Oreochromis niloticus: one gene and its partners. The protein of the gene in region 3 purifies or fractionates together with the protein of the main gene of each other region. This does not show direct contact. Links are inferred from orthologs where the notes say so. Each region holds a gene or a part of one and is shown on either strand. Other genes may lie near its edges.

Region 1 (7,701 bases), on a different chromosome or scaffold from region 3:
AAAAAATCTTTCGTTTTTATAAATGAACACTTAAATATTTTACATTTTTGCAAACTCACTTTTATTCATCTGAAACTGAAAGGCAATTCTGTCATCTGTCACAATCAGCTTATTCTGGGAAACGGTGGAAAAGCCAGAGGTGTGCACTAACCTCAGTGGTGACTCCTGCCTCTCAGCATCTCGCCTCCTGACCTCTGGTGAGCGGCTACGGCGTCTCTGGGGCGAGAACCTAGTTCTGGAAGGAGAGTGGCTCTGTTTTGATGTCCTTTCTGAGGCACTAGCCGAAGGGTAGCGGGCATCTCTATGGCGAGGGGAAGCGCTGCGTTTCCTTGCAGGGCTGTGAGCCCCTCGTCTATGAGGGGAACGGTTTTCCTTTCCTAAAGAAGTGTCCTTGGATGGTGACTTGGCTGGCCGTTTGTCCCGGTCAGCGTCTGAGCGACTTGGCCGTTCCCGTCCAGGCGATCTGGACCGTCGGCTCACTCTTTCCTGGTTGGGTCTATCATCCCGCTGCGGAGAGGACCGTTTATCAGTGCGGCCGACTTTCTGCTCTGCCCTGAAGCTGGAAGGAGAGTTGGACTTCCTTCTCTCCTTGGACCTATCAGTGCTGTGTGAACGCTTCCTGTCTTTTGACCTGCTCCTTCCACGCCCTCTGTCTTTTACACCTGTGTCCTTGGTGCTTTTGGTCACCTTGTCCTGCTTAGACTCCTTGGCCGGCTTGTCTGCAGACTTACTCCGACTACGGCGTTTGGAGCTAGACTTACTGCCCTCTGTTGAGTCCCGTCTAGATTTGCCACTTTTTCCTCCTCTGGGTGATATAGGTTTACCTGAGCTGCCCCTTTGTCGTGGTTCTCCATTTCTGAACCTTGCATCTCCATCCTCTTCAGATCCAGAGTTATACCCCTGAAGAATCAAACCCATGCCAGACTGAACTTTTCCCTCCATCAACTGGCTGTCAAGTTCAGCTTTGATCATGGCCCTCTGTTTCTCCAAATCCTCCAGCAAGGCCCTGTCATCCAGACTTGGATTTCCAGAAGAAGGAGAAGATTCAACTTTTCTATGAGTAGAGGAGCCAAAGAGGACAGCGGCGGAGGGAGAGGAGCCCTCTTTGCGTTTGTGTTTCCTATGTTTGTGACGATGCTTGCGTTTGCGGTCCTTGTCCTCATCAGAGGCATGTTTGTGCTTTTTGTGCTTACTGCGATGCTTGTGTTTTTTCCGCTTGTGTTTACCGCTACTGCTGTGATGTTTGGACCCCTCCTCTGTCTTCTCGCCGTTAGTTTCAGCCTCCTCCTAGCATGTGAACATACCAGGATAACAATCAATTTAGTTGACAGATGATCTTTGTAATTCTTAGTTATGGTGTAAACATAGATACAATCTTGTTTTCTTTGAGTTTTTACCACCTAACAAACCTAGACTGTATTCAGAATGACTGATATAGACAAAAAGTGTTACTAAATTTTGGTTAAAGGTGATCTTACAGCAAGTTATAGTAGCACAGTTTGTTATAGTTTGAGATTTGTGTTAAAAGAGATGACACCACTGATGGCATTTAGGTCCTCACATTGTCAACCCCTACCTCCTCCTCCTCCTCTTCAGATATGTCGCCACTGTCCTCATTTCCACTTCGTTCATGGCTTTCCAGATCTTGCTTCCTGTTTCAAAAAAAGAATATTTAATTACTTTAGTGCTAAATTATTTGGCTGACTGAAGTCAAAAGGAAACAAAGGTCTAAAAAATACACGCAACTGGGTTAAATATAGTTTTTGGACTGGTAGTAGGAACACACAGCCTGACCCTGAATGCAACTGATAACATGCCATAGAATGAGACACACAGAGTTCTGCCATCTGTCCAAAATACTGACAGGTGCTTAAGTTTAAGTAACAGTGTCTGGGATATAAAAAACTATGATAATCAACTAAAAATTTCATTTACACATCAAATCTTTTTTAAATCTGGCAAAATAGGAAACTCTGTCCAATTATTATTTCTTTAACACACAATGAAGTGAACACTATTCACAGCAGCAAACATCATACAACATCATCATCAGTGGTTTTAATTTTTATACATGCACATAAAAAAAGACCATAAAGCTGGCTATTCTTTCCTCGAGGTAACTTGCAGACATCGTGAGCATTTAGTCTAAAAATCAGTCCATAGATTACACAACATTCATTTCCGAGTTTAACCCATCATCGCCCGAAGTGTAGCATTTTAGGTTACCGTAAGGTGTTTAACATCAGGTATACCGGGATTATATAATGTGGTCAGTTTAGCAGGAAACTGTAGAAATACTCATCAGAACCACTCGTTGATGAGAAAGTGACACTCGGTAAATCCCCGTGTAACCTTCACTTGCTCCCTCTTTCCCCGAGCGAGACCGCCAAGATGATTTTCACTCATTAGCTCTGACATGCTAACCGTCTTTAGCAAAGTTAGTGCTAACCAGCTACATCCCGTGAATAATTTTAGCTATGCTAACTTACATTACATAATAGCTGCTTGGGAGGGAGTACAAACCTTACACTGTGTGTGGCTTAGCAGGTACACTTTATTGAGGCAAATACACACAAACGCGGATGAGGTACACTTCTGCATGCTATCACCGAAACTTAGTGCTAGCCGCGCTAAAGAACGTTAGCTAGCTAGCCAAGAACGTTAGCCTATCTTGAGCATGCCCCGGCAACAACGTGAACCTGCTACTCCGTTAGCCCCGGCGATGCTAACACTTCCCTTCATTTTCGACCTGAAAGAGGCCTATAACTTACTGCCACAAACTTTAAATATCTGTAATTTAATAACTTACACGTGCTCGTTGCCATTATTCATTCTCCTGGACGAGATGTCCATCTCAACGTCGGCCATTTTCCTCAGCTGAGGGGGCTTTTTCTTCTTCGGCTACTTTCACCACATGGGTACAATGATATCAAAATACTGACACGTTCCTCTGGTGTTTTGGCGGCGCATCGCAGTCAGGATTTGTGCACTGAAGTCTGTTCTTTGTCCACTAGAGTGTGTGCTCGTGTAACTTGAAATGTTCATATTAGCCACTTACGTCACACACATATACACCCCCCCTCCCCGAACAACTGCCAAATTAAAATTTTTGAAAATTTTTGGTAATTATGTCAAATCTTTCATCTATTAAGCATCTTGAAATTTCAAGTTATTTCTGAGTGGAAAATTTGTAATAAGCAATTCGAAATGTAAAGTTATTAACCAAAGTTTTTAAGTTGAGAATGTTGAAATTTCGTGTTATTATCTCAGAATTTCGAAATGCTAACGTACAAATGGAAACATTGCAGAGTAAGTCAGTGTTCTGAGATACGCAACTCAAGAAATTAAGTCATTATCAAGAAATTTTAAGGTGCGTTACTCGAAATTTATATTTACTGTTTGTGTACTGTATGTATTGTCCTGTATGTATATTTAAAGGAGCGAGAGAATAGCTCTTTTAGCCAGTGTGACTGTTTTTAATGTGGCTTTTAATGATCTGCTGTTGTGTGTTATTCACATGTTTGTGCTCACTTGTCCGTATGCAATATATTATTTGTTTTTTACTTGTCATATTATTATGCGTCGTATTTGCTGTGGCTTTTGCTGCCCTATTGGCCAGGTCTTTCTTGGAAATTAGATTTAAATCTCACTGAAACTTTTCACCTGGATAAATAAAGGATAATAAAAACAAATGTATAATAAATACCCCACAATGTACTTGATCTTTTTTGAATTTTCGTATTTTTTCTGTATAAATCGATGGGCGACCTGAAGACTTGGATACAGGATTTTAAATGACCACATTGGCTATAGAAAAACTGAAAACATAGTCGTGCAAAGGACAGGCTGTTGGAGCCTGCTCGGTCTGCTTTTACCACAGGATGGCCCAGGAGGTTAACTACAGGTGGATCATGTGTAGTGGTTCACGTGGTTGCTGAAAACCCCTCGTGCGCGTCACAATTGCGCACCTCAGTGTGCGCCAATGGTCAACAAAATGACACATGAATGATTACAGTTTTATCTCCAGTGCAACATTTTAACAGCAATGATTTTGCGGAAGTTACTTAGTATTATTGTGGTAAAAATAGAACAAGTAAAAGCGTCTCACTGTGTGATACTTGAGTTCTGTGTCTGAACTTTATTGCCTTTTATTTAAAGAGGATACTGTAAATAAAAGGCAGGTCATTGGTCAGGTTCTTGTACCTTAGAGGAATGTGCTTTTTGTGTGAGTTTGTTAAGCCACTTAACACTGACCTATGAATCATCCAAGCATAAAAAGACACATAGCACAAGGGATGAACCAGTATAATGCCTACACATGACAGACAACTTAGCTAAGATATTTCCATACATCCTAGCAAAAAATGCAGAAATGATCAGCGCTTCAACACTTCTACACAGTTCTATAAATAGCCTTTTACTTATGGTAGTCATCAGACCTGCAAAAACAAGAACAAGTCCAGTATCAGAAAGTGGTAATCCTTCTGCAAAGGGGAAAAACAGCATGTGACTCTGAAAGACAGAGTTAAAAAAATACCAAACACCACATCTGCTTTATCGTGTTGCTTCATACAAAATGCAAAATCTAGTCAGACAGATCTGAGGCATCATGTTCGCAACACAAAAAGTTGCGAGCTGTAAGCGGTAGCTTCTGAGCACAGCTCTGTGAAACCGCATGACTTTCAAGGATGCAAGCCCATTCAAGGGCTGGGCATTATCCACTGACAGTTTTATATCAAGCAGTAAATTGTGGTATTGTGAGACACCTGTGGCTGCTCCACAACAGTGACGAAGTAATGGAAGCATGAAGACATAACGGTGTTAATGCTGACATCCTGGCAGATGGGATGAGATTTTCTGGCAAATGATGATACTGCAGATGGTACTATTATCATCATGTGTTTGCTGACATCTTGATTTGTGTATGCTTGAGTACTCTGAAATTTTGTTTACAAGTACAACAAGTATATACCGAAAAATACCCAACGCGACTTGAGTTTTACTGGAACCCCTCTCACATAAATCCACACTGTATGTACAGAGTATAAACACAGAGAGTCTCAGGATGTAACTCGCAGCCTGGGCCTTCTGTCGTGCAGCCTATCTCAGATTTATATGGTAAAGTTGCAAGCTGGAGGTCTCACAACTGATTAAAGTCTCTGTCACAGAGACATTAGATATTCCATTAGTTCACAGCCCCATCCCAGTGTCCCCAGTAAATCATGGCAGTATACAGTACGAGGCAAATGTTGTATACTCCATTCTGCTGTGCAATCTAAAGACCAATCTCTGTGTCTTACATTGTATGACTTATGAGGTGTGTAACTACTTATATCGTGTAACGATATAAGATAAGATCTTCAGATGCAGGAAGCTTTATTTTAACAGTTCCTATATCCTTATTTTAGGTTAAAAATCTGATTAAACTTTACATCTGTACAACTGTAAATCTAGAATAAATCCATCTGACTTTAATGAGAGTACCATTTCACTGTTTGGCACAAGTGTCGAATAATAGCAGCAGTAAGCTGTAATGCTAGAAGGATAAGTAATGATTACATACTTTGGGAGAAGGTGCTGATCACAACATCCTGTTTCAAGTCGAGAAAGTCCGAAGCATCCTGACGATTGCTGCTATATTTCGATCCATACCCATAAATGATGAGGCCCTTAATCAGAACATTTGTCACAGAGTTAGAGCCAGATTGGATAGGGCTGTGTGACATGCCAGCTACCCAGAGGCGAAGCCAAGATATTGTGAATGTTCCTCTGTGGCTAGCTGCAGTATATGTCAAAATCAGTTGAACCAGTTCATTTATAACTAATTTGTTTTCCTTCATATTTAGTGATTATGTCTTTTAGAGCTCCAGTCTTCCTTTTTCTAGGGATGCTTTTGATTAGCATTTTGATGCTATTTGATCAGCATCATTGTGATTACAGAGAACAACATATGCAAAATAAGCTGCTGATGAAAAATAATGTGTTTCATCTTGTGAGAATACTTGTTTAAAAGGTCATAATGCACATATGGGCTGCTCAACCACGTACTGATACATGGACATGCTGTTACCTGTATTAATCTCTGGCTCTCTTTCACAGCATGTCTTTTGTACTGTCTTACTTTTCTCTCCCCAACCGGTCGCAGCAGATGGCCCCGCCCCTCCCTGAGCCTGGTTCTGCTGGAGGTTTCTTCCTGTTAAAAGGGAGTTTTTCCTTCCCACTGTCGCCAAAGTGCTTACTCATAGGGGGGTCATATGATAGTTGGGTTTTTCTCTGTATGTATTATTGTAGACTCTACCTTACAATATAAAGCGCCTTGAGGTGACTGTTGCTGTGATTTCACGCTGTATAAATAAAATTGAATTGAATTGTTAGCATGGGTAAAAACTGCACCTTTGCACAGTTATACAATGACTGTGCTCTAAGATCTGCAGCCACATTACTGATGAATGGACATTTCACAAATAATGGCGCACTGACACGGTAGATCTGATTCATGACTGCAACTCGTATTTCCCTGAGAAAAAAACCCAAGCAGACATTAAGCCTACCTTGACTTTTCAGCCCTCTGCTCTTTGGGCTTTACTGGAGACACAATAAGGACGGGGCCATAAAACATGGGGTCCAACAAATGCTCGCTGAAGACAACCACAGTCCATTATAGAGCCTGTTAAAGACGCTCAGGCAGTTTGCTAACCCGCTGTCACCCTAGCCTCTGCACTCTTCACTGGGTTTTGTCTGCTGCTGCAGACAAAGATAGAGTTATAGCTCAGAATGACTTCCTCAATGTGACGCTTAGGCAGCTCTTCTAAATAAAAAAAGAGCGCCTGCTCCTATCAAGCAGATGTCATTTGTTCCCTGACAGATGTATCCATATTTTTTCTTTCTCTTGTCTTCTTAACAGTTTTGCTTTACGAGCCTCTGTTATTTACTTTTCTGAGAGAATAAGAGCTGGCATACAATTTACAAGGGCAAAGAAGTGGGTTTGGGAGTATGGGCTAAGCATATGGCCATACTCCCTGAATCGGGGGGATTCAGTTGATGTTTGCTTTAAGGAAAGGATGAGAACAACCAGAAAAAACCCCTTCTGAAATCCAAAACAGCTCAGACCAGTTGGGGCAATGGACACTGGGTTTGTTCCACTGTGTACTGCAAATGCCTGATCAGTACTGGAATCTGGGAAGTTGGAATCAGTTTTTTTGTGCTGTTCTGGGTGGGGTGCCTTTTCCATGGGGTGGGGTGCTTGCTTTGCAGTGTTTAGGTGGGTGGCATGTGTCAAAATGACATCCACATGAATACCAGGAGCCTAGTAGATTGTAACATAAGTATCAGTGTTATTCGCCATTGGTTTCATTTTTAGGTTTATACTAATTAAAATTAAAATTAAGAAAGTCTTGTAACTTCAGCCAGACTGGGCGGTGACTTGAAGTTCATTGTGGACGTTAAGATCATCAGTGTAGGTGCAGGGTGTGGCAGAGGAGAACGTCTGTGAAGGGCTGACAAATTAGAAAACAGGAGTTGCAGAAACCCTTAATTTTACTCCTCTCAAGTGCTTAGTTAAGCATGGCTGTAAAATTGCATATGGGTGACAGTCAAAGCCTGTAATGGCGATATTTAAGCAGTGCTGTAGGTCCAACAGCTGCGTCACAAAATAAACAGTGTAAAACCACCCAGGTTACAAACTGGAACTAGTGTACTGTA
Region 2 (7,201 bases), on a different chromosome or scaffold from region 3:
AAACATGTGTAACAAAGTAAGAGACATATATTATATACAGCACGTTATATTTTCCCTCATCGATGAATTATGAAGTAAATTTATTTCTTTTTTATTTACTTTCTTGAACTTACGCACTTTTCTGTCCAACTTTCATTGATAATGAAGTTAAATCAACGCAGTCTTTATCCACAACATTATGTTTAATTAGTAAGAAAATCATTTTTACAGCAACAAAAAAATATTTCTTAGGAAAAACATGAATTTCATAGCCAGTAAAACCGGAGATAAGTTTTTATTTCAGTTGCAAACGGCTGCTTTCTGTATTAGAGTCACAGTCACACTGTGTAGATACCTAGAGCTTTTATTGTGAAAGGCGAGGACAGGAAGAAGCCATTTGTGTCAAACAAATCAGGATTCCATTACTGGACATCACTTCTTCCATTTCAGAGGGCGATGCGAGGGAGGAGCGTCTCCATGGAGACCATGTCGAGGGGCGGGGCTGGACTGCCCACCAGTTTGAGTGGGGGGGGTCTGGCACACCTGAACGTGGAGGTGAGTTGTTCTGCAGGTAACTGAAGGAGCAGGTTGAACCCCGCTCGTCTGTGAGCGGCTGTAACACCTGGACTCTTTGCGTTGGCAGTGTAACGTCAAGTCTCCCGTGAAGCGGCGCTCGGGACTTTTTCCTCGCCTGCTGAGCGTCGACAGCCAAACAGAGAAGCACAGCCAGCGGAGGTAACGCTGCCCAACGCTCTCCTGTCTCTCAGTTTGTTTACCTGGACAATAAAGTTCAAACCCACCAGTGTGCATGTCAGCACTGCTGCACAGGTGGGGGCACACCTTCAGGAGAGCCAGTCTCAGCAGGTGTGCTGCGTGTTACTGAGCTAACAGCTCTTACCTGCTTTCAGGACATTAACCCCGCCTCCTCCTGTCTCTGTTACGCCTCCTCAGCCTCCCCGGTGAGCAGAGGAGCTTCGACGGATGCCACCCGATGCTGGAGGTGAGGCCGGAGCTGCCGTCCAATCCTAGCACTCCGGAGGCGGGGCAGCGGGACAGGTGTGTGCAGCAGAAGCAGCAACAGTAAGAAATGAAAGAAGCAGATGTTTCAGTTTTCACTGCGAAACAATAAACTTCATCACTTTTTTACTTTTATCGGCAGGATTCACACGAAGAAGGAGAGCAGTAAGATTTCCAGGTCGACATCCAGCACCTGCAGCTTCAGCATCCCAGCTGACGACACACACCTGGTGAGACAGGTGAAAACACACTTAAACCATCTGTTGGGTCAGCGTTATATTCAGCTCAGTGTTATTTAGGGCGCCTTGTATTGTAATGCAGACCCTCATCAATGCGTCCTCCCTCTGTGTCTCTACGTGTATAGGCTGCGACGGTAGAAGGTCAGAGTTCAGCTCCGGTCATCGTGTGCCGCAGCCCCACAGGTGCGACGCCCGCTCACCGCCAGCGTTTCTGTTCTGGAGCCGTTCTCACGTCTCGTTTGCTCTCTCCTCTCTCAGAGCTGAAAAACAAGAACTCGCCCAGATCCAACCTGAAATTTCGCTTCGACAAGCTCAGCCACTCCGCCGCAGTAAGTCTGTGTGACAGCCAATCAGCAGGCTCGCTGTTTACCTGAATATGCGGAGCAGCTGATTGGGCTGCACGCCTCCAGGACGTCACTGCTTTTTGTTATTTTGTTCAGTGTGATTTTTCAAGTATTTTCTGTGTAATCTGATTACTGAGTGTGAAACCTTCCTTCTGTCTGCAGCAGGGACACTGAGCTGACAGGACGCCGCTGACAGGTGTGTGCTTTCCCAGAAGTCCGATTTTAAATTCCATTTTTCAAAGTGCTGCTTCTGTCACTCTGTTCTGCTTCTGAGTCTACTTCCTGCTTTATTTTGAAAGTTAGTTCCTCCTGTAGCGTCTCGTGTTTTACTTCCTGTCTTGGTTGGCGTTCTCGCCCTGGCGCTTGTCTTGGGTGGCTCGTGTTCACACTTTCTGGGCCATGATGTGAGCGACTCTCTGAGCTGGGTTTGATGTGTTCCTCTTTCTCTCGCTGCTTTCCAGAATAAAAGCCTGAAGCTTCAAACAGACGGCAGTCTCCACACAGGAGGAGGAGGAGGAGGAGGAGGAGGAGCAGGAGCAGGAGGAGGAGAGTCTCCTGATGGACCACCACACACACATACTTGTCTTTCTGTCTTTGTGAGGACCCCAAGTGCAGCTCTCCTGTTTCTGTCTGTTTTTTTCTTCTCATCTTCTGCACAAACCATAAAATCATTTCTGAACAGGACACTGAACACGTAGTTCTTTTTAAACCGTCCTACAGTCAAGTTCGACCCACAGAGCTCTCCCTGTTTTGCGCTTCTTTCAGTGTAAGATGTAAAGAGGAGGCTCGCTCGTTCCCTAGAAACTTTATTTATCACAGAAACACCAGGGGGCGCTGCAGAGAGGGGCTGAGATTCCACCCAAAGGACCAGGACCCGAGCAGCTAAGCTTCCCTGAGGGGCAGCGGTTAATGCCCCTCTCCCCAAACACCGCTGAGGTGCTCCCATCCAGCTGGGAGATGTCCTCTCTGCGGGGGTCCAATCATTTCAACCAAAACAAGAAAAACAAAAACAGCACAGCAGCTCAAAGTTTGGGGATTCACTCATATCAGAGGCAACCACAAGAACTGCAACTACCCGCCCCCTGTCTCCCTGTTAGATGACTGGTCCTGAGTGCTGTTTAGTCTTTTTGTCAGCCGGCACGGTGCTGGTCCCCCCGAAGGTTCCTGGTCCTGGAGGAGAGTTCCTGCGGTGGATGCGAGGCCTTTACAGGCCTAAAGTTTGTCGTTGGGTCGTGACTCTGATGGTTTCTCAACACAGACACAGGAAGGCGAGCGCATGCACTCAGGTTAAAAAGGACGGAAATACAGGAAACACGTTAACTGCTGGAGCTGCTCGGTCTGCGCGTCCATGCTGAGCTCTGTGGGATTTATTCTTATTAATAACAAATAATAACACGTGGCTGTGGGTTCAGATTCAGACACGTTAGAGACAGACGCTGCCGTTCTCCTCACACATTACAACGTCGTGAGCTCAACCTGAACCTTTTTTAAACTGCAACCAAATCAGTTTCACTCCTGCTGCAGGAGTCGCAGTGTGATGATCTGCAGCACACAGGGTCTGAGCGACGGGGGTCAGGTGGGCGGTGCTGCAGGTGAGTCAGAGAGGTGGAGCTGCTGGAGGTCAGGGAGAAGAACAAGAAGCGCTGTGATTGGTCTGATGATGGGGTCTGAAGCTTCGCTCTCCCTCTCTGAGAGACGTTCGCACTAATCACGCCAAGTCTCCAGGTCACTCACTCCACTGGAAGCTGCACAGCTGCAGGAGTTCAGCTTTTCAAAATAAAAGATGATGCAGCATGAACACAAAGATGTCTGCGCAGTTTTCTGATGTCATAAAGTGTGTGTGTGTGTGTGTGTTGTAAAACCTGTAAAACTGAACATTTCACAAATAAAAATCAGCTTCTTTCAGTGTTTGTTGTTGTTTTTGTCGTTTCATTTTCTCCCAACTTTTTTTTAAATTTTTTTTTTTTACTGAAGACCCGCTTCATCTGCAGACGTCATTTTTCATACTAACCAGCAGCTACAAACTGCCTCAGAACCAGATGCTGGTTAAAGTTCAAAACATTAAAAAAGTTGATTGTTCTTTTGTAAAAGAACCAAAACTAACAAGGAATTATTGACTAGCTGTTCTTCTTATTTCGTGTTCGTGTTTATTTGTGCATTAGTATGTCTCAGTATCGGTTATGAAACAATTAAAGCAAATAAATATGAAACTTTATAAATAAGAGAAAGAAAAGTTATTGTTTAAATAACGGGATGAATAAACGTTTTTATACTGCGTTTTCATTACTTTCCATTTCCGTTACAGCCTTGTGTTTATGTATTTATTTATTTATTGTAATTCTGACAATGTTATCTTGATTACCTGTTTATTAATTACTTTGTACTTTTTTGTTTAGATTTTTCAGACATTGTGCAGTACACTTCAGCCCTGTTATACTTAGGGCTGTTTACATTTACACATTTATTAAAAACATTGGTTTACATGTTTTAATATATCGTCTGTGACGCTGTTAAAGTGTCTGTTATTCAGCACCGCCCTCTGCTGAGCATGACATCATGTTTTACCTTTAATAACCGCAGGGGGCGGAAGAGCTCCGGCGCGCCGCCTGCAGGCCGCAGAAGAAGTCGTAGGTACCGTTTCCGGGTCAGCCAAGAGCCGCAGCGCTAGAGGCCGTTGTTCGCTGCTGGGTTAGCACCATGGCGGCAGTACGCAGCTTGCGGGTCTCGGTGAAATCAGACAGCGGCTCCGACCGCTCGGACTCGGACTCCGAGTCGGACAGAGATGCCCGCGAAGCCGAGCCGATGGAGGTGGAGGAGGGAGAGCTGGACCCCGAGGACATCTCCGTTAACCGCTCTCTGAAGGAGCTGCTGCCGGTAAGCCCGGACTAGGCCCCGGCACTCCGGGGACTGGCGTCTCCGTCGCCCGGCAGATCCGCGGGAAGTGTCGGCTAGCGGTTACTTGGACTCCCGGCTCTCTCCCGGGAGTCAGCCGCCCCCCTCCCTCCGCGCTGTAGGGGCTGCCGATGAGCGGCGGGGGCCTCGCGTTAACCGGGCTGGTTTACGTTTTCGACATGTTTGCGGGGTTCGTGTTTATTTCAGTCACTTGTTGCTGTGTTCACGTGCTGTTTGTGTGGAGCGCACGTCCCACCAAACTCTATTTAAAAAACATCGAATTTAAGATGTTTACGTGTAATAAAAAAAAAGAAAAAGCAGAGACCGCAGAGTGCTCATTTTCCGCAACTATTTCAGCAGGTATGCGCATACCGAACAGTTCTGCTTTCTTCTAAGCGTGAACCTGGATTTCATTATTCTTCCTTTGTTATTTACTCTTCCTGCTAGTGTAGAGCGTCCCTGCCACCAAACCTCATCTAAAACTAGGAAGTTTGACGTTTTTACGTGCAGAGAAATGCAAAACGGGTGAAGTTATTCGATTTGAATGCATGCACACTTAGTAGTTTTTATACCTTCGCGGGTGTTTCCTCTCCCTGCTAGCACACCAACAGTATCCAGAGCAGTTTATCAGCTGGAGAAATGAAGGTTTTCTTCTTGTGTGAAAGTCACATTAGAGTTGAGTCTTTACTGTGGAGGCCTGTGTGGCTGCTGCTGTGGACTTCATACAGCCTGTGTTTCCCATGTGTTTACAGTCACTTTGTAATGTTGCTGAAGCAAACAAACAGAAACGGCTCAAAGAGAAAGTGAAACCGTGGCTCACTGCTGTCTGTCTGTTTCACAGGACACCAGTCGGCGGTATGAGAACAAGGCTGGAGCCTTCATCACTGGAATCGACGTCAACTCTAAGGTAAACCATCAGAGAGTGTGTGTGTGTGTGTGTGGGCGTTAGGCTGCCACTTTAAAGTGTTTCTCACTGTGGGCGATGTTAGTGAAGTACATGCAAGAGTCTCTGAGCGCCTGTAGGGTCAGGACTCATGTGAGTGACCTTTCCAAAGGTCACCATGACCTGATGATATCAGGTAAAGAGTGATAGCTGAGTGGGAAGCTCAGGGTTCAAACTCCTCTGAATACTCGACTTATTTCCTTTTTCTTCCTCATCAGGAGGCGATCGAGAGGAAAGAGAAGCGAGCGCAGCGTTTCCATTTCCACGGGGAGGAGAAGATCGGCCAGCGGAACGTTTTCCTGGATAAAGACGCCATGAAGAAAGGTACGTGTCCTCCATGACTGTCAGCAGGCAGAGCCAACCTTTTCCTGATGAGGAGCTCGTTTAACATGTCGTCGTCTTCTTCTTCTGTGGTGCCCAGCCATCCCCCAGCTGCGCATGGAGGCAATCCATGTGATGGGCGTGGACGACATGAGCACGCAGGACGTCTTCGGGTACTTTAAAGAGTATCCTCCGGCTCACATCGAGTGGATCGACGACACTTCCTGTGAGTACGGCATGCAGACAGAAGAGCCCGGCTGCGGAGCTCATGAAGCTACTGCACGGGGCGGGGCATGTGACTCTCCCAGCCAATCACAGCTCAGGTCAAACCCTGTTCTCACCACCTGATGGTTTCCTAGGTAACGTGGTTTGGCTGGATGACGACACCCCCATTCGGGCGCTTATCAACACCAGCCGGATGCCTGACTCGGAGGCTGTTACCACGGAGACGGGAGGCACCAGCCAGCCGGGCGAGCAGAGCAAAGGTGAGTTCGAGTACTGTAGGGGAAACCACCAGAAGCCTCAGGGCATTGTGGGTAAATGTTACGATGTCGCAGGTCGGCGAGGTCAAGGGTCAGATGACGAGGACGATGAAGAGGAGGAGGGCGAGGTAGACGAAGGTGAAGAGGAAACGGCGAAGAAGCGCAGCGAGGAGATTGAGGGGAGAGACAGCGACGCAGAGACAAAGACGAAATCTGAGAGCGGACAGGTAGGACGCCACCTGACCAATCATCAGGTTTACTGACCAGTGCCCAAAAGTGATCGATGATGTCATCGGCTGTGTGCGCGCAGGCCGACCTGTCGCGGGCGGAGAGAGCATCCCTGCTGAGGAACGACCTACGGCCCGCCATCAAACCCTTCAAAGGAAACAAGCTGCTGCTGCGCTTCGCCACGCAAGGTGACACACACACACACTCACACACGCACAAGCCCATTCAGCTATCTTAGTGAGGACCTTCATTGACATAATGGTTTCCCTGCCCTCTTACCCTAACCCAGGGGTCAGCAACCTTTTACACCCAAAGAGCCACTTGGACCCGGTTTCCACGCAAAAGAAAACACTGGGAGCCGCAAATACTTTTTGACATCTAAAATGAAGATAACACTGTATATATTGTTTGTTTTATCTTTGTGCTTTGTGTAAACAACTAAAGTAAGTAAGTAAAGTTTATTTATTAAGCACTTTTCACAGACAGGCAGTCACAAAGCGCTGTACACAAATATTAAAATAAACACTACAATCAATAGACATTATACACAATGTAAAAGATCTAATGTAAATAATGTAAAGAATATAAAATACGTAGATCAACAAAAGGCTTGTTTGAACAGAAAGGTTTTTAACTGCTTTTTAAAAGAATCCACAGAGAAACTAAGGTGTGCTGCTTATGAAATCCATGAAGTGCTACAGAGAAAATTACATTTTATTTATGTAATTAACACATTTTGAACTCTTAAAAAAATAT
Region 3 (7,794 bases):
TAAGTCCAGTTTCATTAAAAATAAACAAAACTCAGCCACTTTCATGCTAGTCCCACTTTCAAACAAATACACTGTCTTACCAATTGAGCCAATTCCACTTTCTGCTCCAGAAGTCTCAGCTCTGTCTGCTTGGCTCTCCTCTCTTCAAACAGCTCCCTCTTTTCATTCTCCACCTTCTTTCTCTCAGCCTCAGCCTGAACCTCGAGCTTCTGCTCAATCTCAGAACGTCGCTTTTGCTGCAGGATGACAAACAGAAATATGAAGCAGAACAAGAAAAAAATCATGGAATTTATGACCTCATCAACACAGAAACCTATATTTTCAAAAATACTGCTCTCATAACCAAGCAAAAGATGAATCTATTCCTCACCTTTTCTGAAGAGACATTTGACTCCTGCTTGAATTTCTGTAGGGTCCCCATGAGCAGGCCGAACATGCGCCGATTCCTGACCAAGACAATACAAACACCACCATCACACACTTAATTCTCAGCTGTAGACACGTTTTGCCATTTGCCAGATGAAATTAAACTGATCATGGCTCAGACTATTTAGTAATCAAATCTGAATGTAAATCTAGAGTTTAAGAGCTACCTCTGTTTGCCCCTCTCATCCATGGTTTGGTCCTGAATGAGATCTCGGCGCGTTCTCTCTTTGGAGGTAGCTACTACAGACGACTGCAACGCCGGCTGAAGGAAGGACAAGAAGCAAATTGTTAGGATTTTTATCACTTCAAAGCAGAAAAAAAAAAAAAAACCCACTGTGAGGCAGCAAATACTGATCAAGTATTTTTGACAAAATTACCTTTTTGACATCATCGTCATCCTCAGCGTCGCTGTCGTGACGCATGTCCCTCCTGGCCCTCTGGTCCCCTGCCAGCCTGCAGCCACACAAAGATCAAATACTCATAAGAGATGGTACTTTGAAATCAAGACAAGGAGGGAAAAAAAAAAAAAAAAAAAAAAAAAAAGTACAGAAAGCTGAGAATTCATTCAATTAATGCCTTACATGTGCAGAAATGCTGTTGTACTTTCAGTCTGATACAATTTACTCTAGAAAACTTGTTTTAGTCTACATAACACCCCCCCCCAACAAGAAACATATTTTCTTATACTTGTTAAATAATCTTAATATTAATGAAGGGTTTCAGGTAAAATGTGTTACACAAGCTCCAAAACTAGAAACTACCCAATCACTATATTATATTTCAAGTCGAGATCTCACCTTAGCAGGGCTCCTTCGATGTCCCTTTGCTTGGCAGGAGGGCCGCCGCTTCCCATGTCTGAGAGACTGCGTCTGAGAAAGGACAAAGAGGAAAACTTTAGAGATGCACAGACTGAATTTTTTGCGGTTTAAATAATTTATTCTACCTTTTTTTGGAGAGACGCAAAGAAACTCCAAGAAAGCTGATTCCGTTCATCTGGACGTGTTGTTTTCAGTCAGAAATGCTTCACTCATCCAAGTGACTGAGCTCAGACTGAGCTGACCCTAGGTTTCCCCAACCTTTTAAACAGTTTATTTGCATAATGACCGAAACTACCGTTAAGGACCAACAATGGGTCGTGAGGTCAGTTTCATTGTCCTTAAGTGGTCATAGCACTTTGCATATTAAGTCACTTGAATGAGCAGCCAAAAGTTTTGCCCACTAAAAACAACGCCCTGATGAACAATCAACTTCCTGGGATTTAATTACTTGGATGATTGAGCATGCATCAAGACAAAAAACAACCATTTTCAAACCCTCTTTGAACATTTAACTGAAACAGAAAATGTGTTTCAACAGTGCTTCCTTTACAGACTGAATCATAAAAACATCAGACAAATGTGATTAACATTTATCCTCAACTCCATGTTTTTGTTCTTGGCTATAGTAGATGTGGATGGTTCACAAAAAAAACCAAACAAACCCCAAAGCAAATTATAACACAAAATGGGGCAGCTTCTCAGTCCATTACACTTTGTAAACCAAGCTACTTACTTAGTGAAAGTTACATAGTTTCTGCTTCTGATAATTAACTTCCCCGTGGCTATTAATATGAAAAAAAGCACAACAATTCCCCCTTTTAACGTCTAACTGATGAAATCAATATGATTATAAGTGCGCTATTGTGCAAATGGTCATAAACTACGCCTTGCATTCTGTAACCAGCAACAACCCAGTTCAAACCTTCACAACAAGGCTTATTTAAGAAGTGACGTGACGCCAAGTCTCACATTGAATAGATTGTGGAAGATGTGTGATTGGGGAAGGGGGGGGGGGGGGGGGGGGGGGGTACTGTTGTATATACTTTTCAGATCACCCACTAAAGTTGAAAATCTAAAGCTCTTTTTTTCCGAGATGGGGAGCGCAAAGATTTACCTGAGCAGGTTTATTCCTCTGCCTCTACCTCCTCCTCCAGGGCCTGCCATGGGGCCGCCAAGCCGACGGATCTGACCCGGCCTGCAAGCACAGGGGACACCGAGGTTAACACAAAAGAAAGAATACAGTCTGACAAATAAGACTCACTTTAACATTATGCGTTTGTGTTGCTGCAGAACCGTTTTATTATTAAGCAAGACAAAGTGATGTGCCGCCCGGACGACGCCTCCTGCAGGGCCTCGACTCTGTTCATCTACCAGATTTAATGTTCCAATTCAATATTTTAAGAAGTTACCAATTTGGTTAATTTTTATTCGTTTGATGCGAATAAATTAAGATGGTAAAAACATTATATGTGCGACACAAAACAAGGAGGCGGTGCTGTTTGCAGGTTAGCCGACCCACGCTAACTTAGCACACGTCGACTGAGTACAGCTCTTCAGCTTCACTCCAGGAACTCGCTAAAAAACTAAATAACCAGTTAAGCTTTTTACCTTGATTCATTAGGATCACGTCCGGTCAGTTTACGAATATTATCGTCCACATGCTTCAAACTTTCCTTGGCTTTTTCTAGCTGGTCTTGCAAACTCCGCACTGCCACCGCCATCTTGCTTCCAGTTAGCGCGAATCACGTGTTCGTCCTCTTCTTCTACTTCTAGACTCTTCTTCCTTTGCATCCTGTCTCTTTATCAACGCATCACCGCCACCCTCTGGTCAGGGATGGATAATGCTTACTAACGTGTATGTATTGGTTCTAAAATCGGGGGTGAAAGGTGTGTTTGCGTGTATCTGAAATAAAATTAATTTTCCCAGCCTTAGAAGGGTCTTTAAAGTTGATCAAACTAAATTCAAAGTAAAAATGTTGACAGAACAGTACAACACACACACTAAAGTACAAGGAAGCAACTGAAGGCAAGAAGCAGCGGATTATTCACCACTGCAGGACTGATCACATATCACAGTGTGTGCTATTTCAGCCAACAGTGCACCTATATCTTCTCTGAGAGTCAACTAAATGAAAAGCGTATTATCTAATTTCATAAGAAGACACATGGTTCAGTGTTATAGCCTCTTACTTCTGTAGAAGACAATAAATTAAGACCCTTTCCAGGTGGTGAAAAGTGCTATATGTGAAATGTTGTAAGAAGGCACAAAATATCTGTGAATCCTCAGAAGTCACAAAGGAATTAAACCAGAAGAAATGTATCACAATTTGCATAGAGCAAGAGGATTTACTTCTCAAGTTAGCATCAGCAGAATAAATTTAGACTTAAAACATCTGATTTGTATCTGTTTTTACTAAAGCTTCATGAGAGGTTTAAAAGATACAGACGATACTCTCGAGACTGGATTAAGGACAGGAATGAAGAAAGTGTTCTTTTATTTCACTCCTCCTGAGTACAGACACTCTTTCTTCTCCTGACAGCCAGATTCAGGGTGCCTGCCTGCCTCTTTTGATCTCTATCAGTAACTGAGGAAGCCGGCTCCGAGCTGCGAGCCCCGGATTGAAAATAAAACCCTTCTGAGTCCCGCTGTTGCAGCTCTTGCATATCAAAGTGGAAACCAAGCATCAAACCACAGCTGATTTCCTGGCTTTTAACAGTGTGCGCTACAATTCTGCTGATGATTCTTTCATATCATTCTACTACCAGTCCAATAACACTGATGTCATCATGCATTTAATTACACAACAGAGAACCCAGCCTTCTAAAACCCACTCCTCTGACTGTTGGTTGGGAAAAAAATGTGTTGTTGTTTCAGCTTAATTGTGAAATGCCACAATGATAATCTCCTTGTCTCATTATCCAGATGAGAACGAGCTCTTTGTCTGAGACCTGCAGCATTAGTGCAAAACAGTTATTCCTGTCCATTAATTAAAAAGCTTTTTAATTAACTTTACTGTTAGCAGACTGCTTTTTAGCAATTTGTGATGCATAATAGTACATTACAGTTGGGAAAGGCAACCCATAAAACATTTATTCCAACATATTACTAAAACTGAATTATGGCTCCACTTTCTTAGCTTACAGTAGGGCCGCTTGATGTGGTCTTCTCCTGCTGTAGTTCATATGCTTCAAGGTTTAATGTGCTGTGCCTTCAGAGAGGCTCTTGTGCATGCGTGGGTTGTAAAACCACGTATATCACCTTTCTTCTACATTCTGAATCTCGGTTTGAAGTTCAGCACGTTGTTTTGACCATGTCTACGTATCCAAATGGGTTGAATTACGTTCAGGTAAGATAGTTGTGTTTAAAGAGGTGTACCTAATGAAGTGGTAGGTGAGTGTATACTGACATGAGGGGCATTTTCTTGCCCGTTTCATTTCTGACATTGGCGTCTTCAAACTATGATTAAAATTATTGTTGGAAGACATTTTTGAGCAGATAAAAAGCAAGTCTGTGGTGACAGGCTGGTGTGAAATCAGTAATGTGGAAGCAGGAGAGCAGGAGCAGAAGGATATTGAAATCATCACAGGGGAATATTTTAACCTGTGAAATATTTTTTGGAGCAGGATTTTGCAGAAGAGCTAAAAAGGAGAGACACGTTTTTCTTGTCTTATGTTTTACATCTCTGGGCTTCCATAGATCCATTTGCAAGTGCTTTATGCTGTTTACTCAAAGGAAGTCCCCGTGGTGCGCTGCAGGGACTTCCTCTGAGTAAACAAAGAAATGGCAAAATAACATTGTGTAATATCGTTGTTCGGTGGGGAGGGACTTAACAAGTAAAGATGAGGAATTTTCTGGTGGGGGTGGGTGGGGCAGTTTAACATTTTCTTTACATTTGATTATTTCATCAAATTCTTCAGTGGCACTTTCTCACTTACCCACTCGACTGAGCCACATCAGATAGATAACAAAACCATTGAGGTGGGTTAACAGCTTTGATTATTGCATTAAATGGGTGACCTTAAAAGAAAAGGCAAGACCAAGTCGTCTTTTTCATCATCTCAGGAATCTTTTCTAATGCTTATGTCCATTGTAGGCGTGGAAATGGTTAATAACTGAGAAATGTCATTTAAAATTTGGTGAGTTGAACCCATTCAAAAAAAACAAACAACAACAACAACAAAAAAAAAAAAACAACCCAAAGGTCATGAGGAGCAGTTATTGTTTTTTTGCACTAACGGGTGTGGAGGTGTGAAAAAGACACAATAGGCTACTTAAAGACACACGGGAAACCAGTGGGTCATGTAATGTCCCTGCAGACTAATTGTGACCGAGTTAGTTTTGGGTCTACTTGACATTCATGCACAATAATGGTCTGGTTTGGTTTGATGATTGGAGATTGCAGAACGACAGACGACTTCTTTCCAATGCCAGTTTTTAAATGGATTTAAGGAAAAAAAAAAAAAGAAAAAAAAAAAAAAAAAAGACAAACGAAGCAAGTGACATTTTATTGTTTTTATTCACTGACTAAAAGAAGAGAAGCATTCATTCCACAATAATTCAAATCAACATTCGTCAGGTTGACCCCTCAAGTGTATGCCATCTGTCAGGTCAGAGGTTTTACATGGAGGTTTATAACATGTCCTCCCTTTTCTTCACCACAGAGCCATGGATCAACACTGTTCAATGATAAAATCTGTCCTCTTACTTCCAGAGGACTCTTTCCCTGCAGACTAATCCAAAAAACAGCTGGGATGAGTTCAAATATCACTTTTATGTGCCTTTTCTTATAGACATTGAGGGTAAAACTCGGTTTTGCTTGGTCTTAAAAATCCACAAGCCATTCTTTTAATCACACCTTGGTCTGTTTGACATAGCTCAGGTGAGTTACAGCACTGACTCGCTTTTAAAGCTCTGTGCAGAACAGATTTGGAAGTTTTTGTTTCTGAAATATGCTCTGTGGTACCTGAAGTCTGTCCAGCTGTGTTCTGGGTTCAGTCTGGTTCCCTGCTTACAGAAAGGAGGTAATAACCTGGTGCTATGTGCTCACGTTAACCGACACAGTCGCACAGGAACGTTACGCTCAGAATATTCAACATTAACGATGGTAAAACCATTTCTGCAAAAAACACACAACAACAGAGCTTCTGATTTACAAAGTCTGCGTGACTTCAGAGTATACTTCATGTTCATAAATTGAACCCGGACATGTGTTGCATAAGAGTATACCACGGTAATGCAGTGTTGATACCTATACAAATATGCACTGTGTGAGTTTAGATATCTATATAGTTTATATTTCTTCCTCTATGGTTTTTCTAAAGATGCAGCCGGGCGCCGTCAGCACTGCTTGTGCCCCCTTTGTGGCCACTAGTAAGACTGCTGTTATTGCAAACTGTCCTGATTTTAAACAAATGCACAACATTCGTACCACGATAAAACTGGGGCCATCTAGCCAGTCTCACAGAGACCAAGAGTGAGCCCGCCGTCACCGCTGCTGTCGCTGGGCTGGCTGACCAGAATCAAAAAGATCTTAAAACTAAACGATAAGATTTCAGAAATCATCATAAGGCCAAGTATTGTCATTGCAAGTTCTTATTAGTTTACATCTTCGCTTCTATTGTATGACAGTGAGAAAAACCAAATATAAAAATAGGAGGAAAAGAAAAAAGAAAAAGAGGGTGAGTGTGGATTATATGCATTCCTCTTGCATAGTTGTATTGCTGGACTGGGCAGCAGGCCTGCCTGCCTGGCTAATTAGGAGGTTTGGCTCTCCAGACTTGACAAGAACGACTTTGTTTACCAGCCAGAAACATCACAGCCACAGTAGCTGAGATCTAAATGGAGATAGTTGGCCGACACTGAGCATGAATATCTATCAGGTCCATGATACAGTCAGGCGCTGCGTGAATCTCGCCATGCACCAACGATACTGACAGAATTTGGCCAGGTTAATGCCATCAGTGCCATTTTGTTGTTTCGCCTCTACATCTACAGAGAAGCAAGTAAATGATAACACCATTACTATCGCACCCAGGCTGACAACATCATCATCATCATCATCATCATCATCAACATCAGCTGGCTGGAAAACTAAAAGCCGGAGTGTCCAAACTTCCTGTCAGTGCTAGTACATCTAGCCTCAAACACATCTACTTATCTCTGTTACAGGACTGATTTTATACCAGTGCAACGCACATCCAGTGTTTGTCTCCAAGTTACTGAAACACATCAGGATGCTAATCAGATTTGTCACATTCCTGCATGCGACCAGCCCTCTGTGAGCTCATTCAGTCCTGCATGTACTGGTAGTAGTCTGTGGTCAAAGCATTTCAATGAGAAAAAACAAACCTAAAAAAAAATAAATATACAACCTTGCTATGAGGAAACCCTGTCTCTTCATGTTAATCCTCCAGAAACATTGAACCAGCCCTGAATGTCTTTTAGGGAAGGCTTCAGGCCCACAACCATCTTACTACCTCTTTTTCTTAAGCTATTTAAGTTAAGTTTCATTTTCCAGAACATCCTGAGAGTCAACATCAGAAACCCTCG

The links. Proteins that work in one complex are often made in the same cells at the same time.
Region 1: the proteins of pnn (region 3) and prpf4bb purify together in Homo sapiens (affinity purification with mass spectrometry; 5 studies listed by BioGRID and IntAct, counting the BioPlex papers as one, with this or other methods). This does not show direct contact. The link is inferred for Oreochromis niloticus from reciprocal best matches to the Homo sapiens genes PNN and PRP4K.
Region 2: the proteins of pnn (region 3) and ncbp3 purify together in Homo sapiens (co-immunoprecipitation; 3 studies listed by BioGRID and IntAct, counting the BioPlex papers as one, with this or other methods). This does not show direct contact. The link is inferred for Oreochromis niloticus from reciprocal best matches to the Homo sapiens genes PNN and NCBP3.

What each region holds. Positions count from the first base shown.
Region 1 is NC_031974.2:14,009,794-14,017,494, reverse strand, and holds the start of prpf4bb (pre-mRNA processing factor 4Bb), read right to left. Parts: upstream 3,016-7,701; 5' UTR 2,869-3,015; coding exon 2,810-2,868; intron 1,653-2,809; coding exon 1,562-1,652; intron 1,288-1,561; coding exon 152-1,287; intron 1-151. UniProt on the Homo sapiens protein: Serine/threonine kinase involved in spliceosomal assembly as well as mitosis and signaling regulation. Connects chromatin mediated regulation of transcription and pre-mRNA splicing.
Region 2 is NC_031975.2:32,673,357-32,680,557, forward strand, and holds the start of ncbp3 (nuclear cap-binding protein subunit 3), read left to right. Parts: upstream 1-4,186; 5' UTR 4,187-4,276; coding exon 4,277-4,453; intron 4,454-5,312; coding exon 5,313-5,378; intron 5,379-5,632; coding exon 5,633-5,738; intron 5,739-5,835; coding exon 5,836-5,961; intron 5,962-6,094; coding exon 6,095-6,220; intron 6,221-6,292; coding exon 6,293-6,444; intron 6,445-6,527; coding exon 6,528-6,633; intron 6,634-7,201. Other genes in the region: rap1 GTPase-activating protein 2, read left to right, coding at 430-534, 623-714, 931-1,059, 1,139-1,235, 1,361-1,418, 1,494-1,564, 1,742-1,753. UniProt on the Homo sapiens protein: Associates with NCBP1/CBP80 to form an alternative cap-binding complex (CBC) which plays a key role in mRNA export. NCBP3 serves as adapter protein linking the capped RNAs (m7GpppG-capped RNA) to NCBP1/CBP80.
Region 3 is NC_031983.2:25,169,694-25,177,487, forward strand, and holds the start of pnn (pinin), read right to left. Parts: upstream 3,011-7,794; 5' UTR 2,966-3,010; coding exon 2,853-2,965; intron 2,440-2,852; coding exon 2,359-2,439; intron 1,296-2,358; coding exon 1,224-1,295; intron 880-1,223; coding exon 804-879; intron 689-803; coding exon 594-688; intron 447-593; coding exon 371-446; intron 237-370; coding exon 81-236; intron 1-80. UniProt on the Homo sapiens protein: Transcriptional activator binding to the E-box 1 core sequence of the E-cadherin promoter gene; the core-binding sequence is 5'CAGGTG-3'. Capable of reversing CTBP1-mediated transcription repression.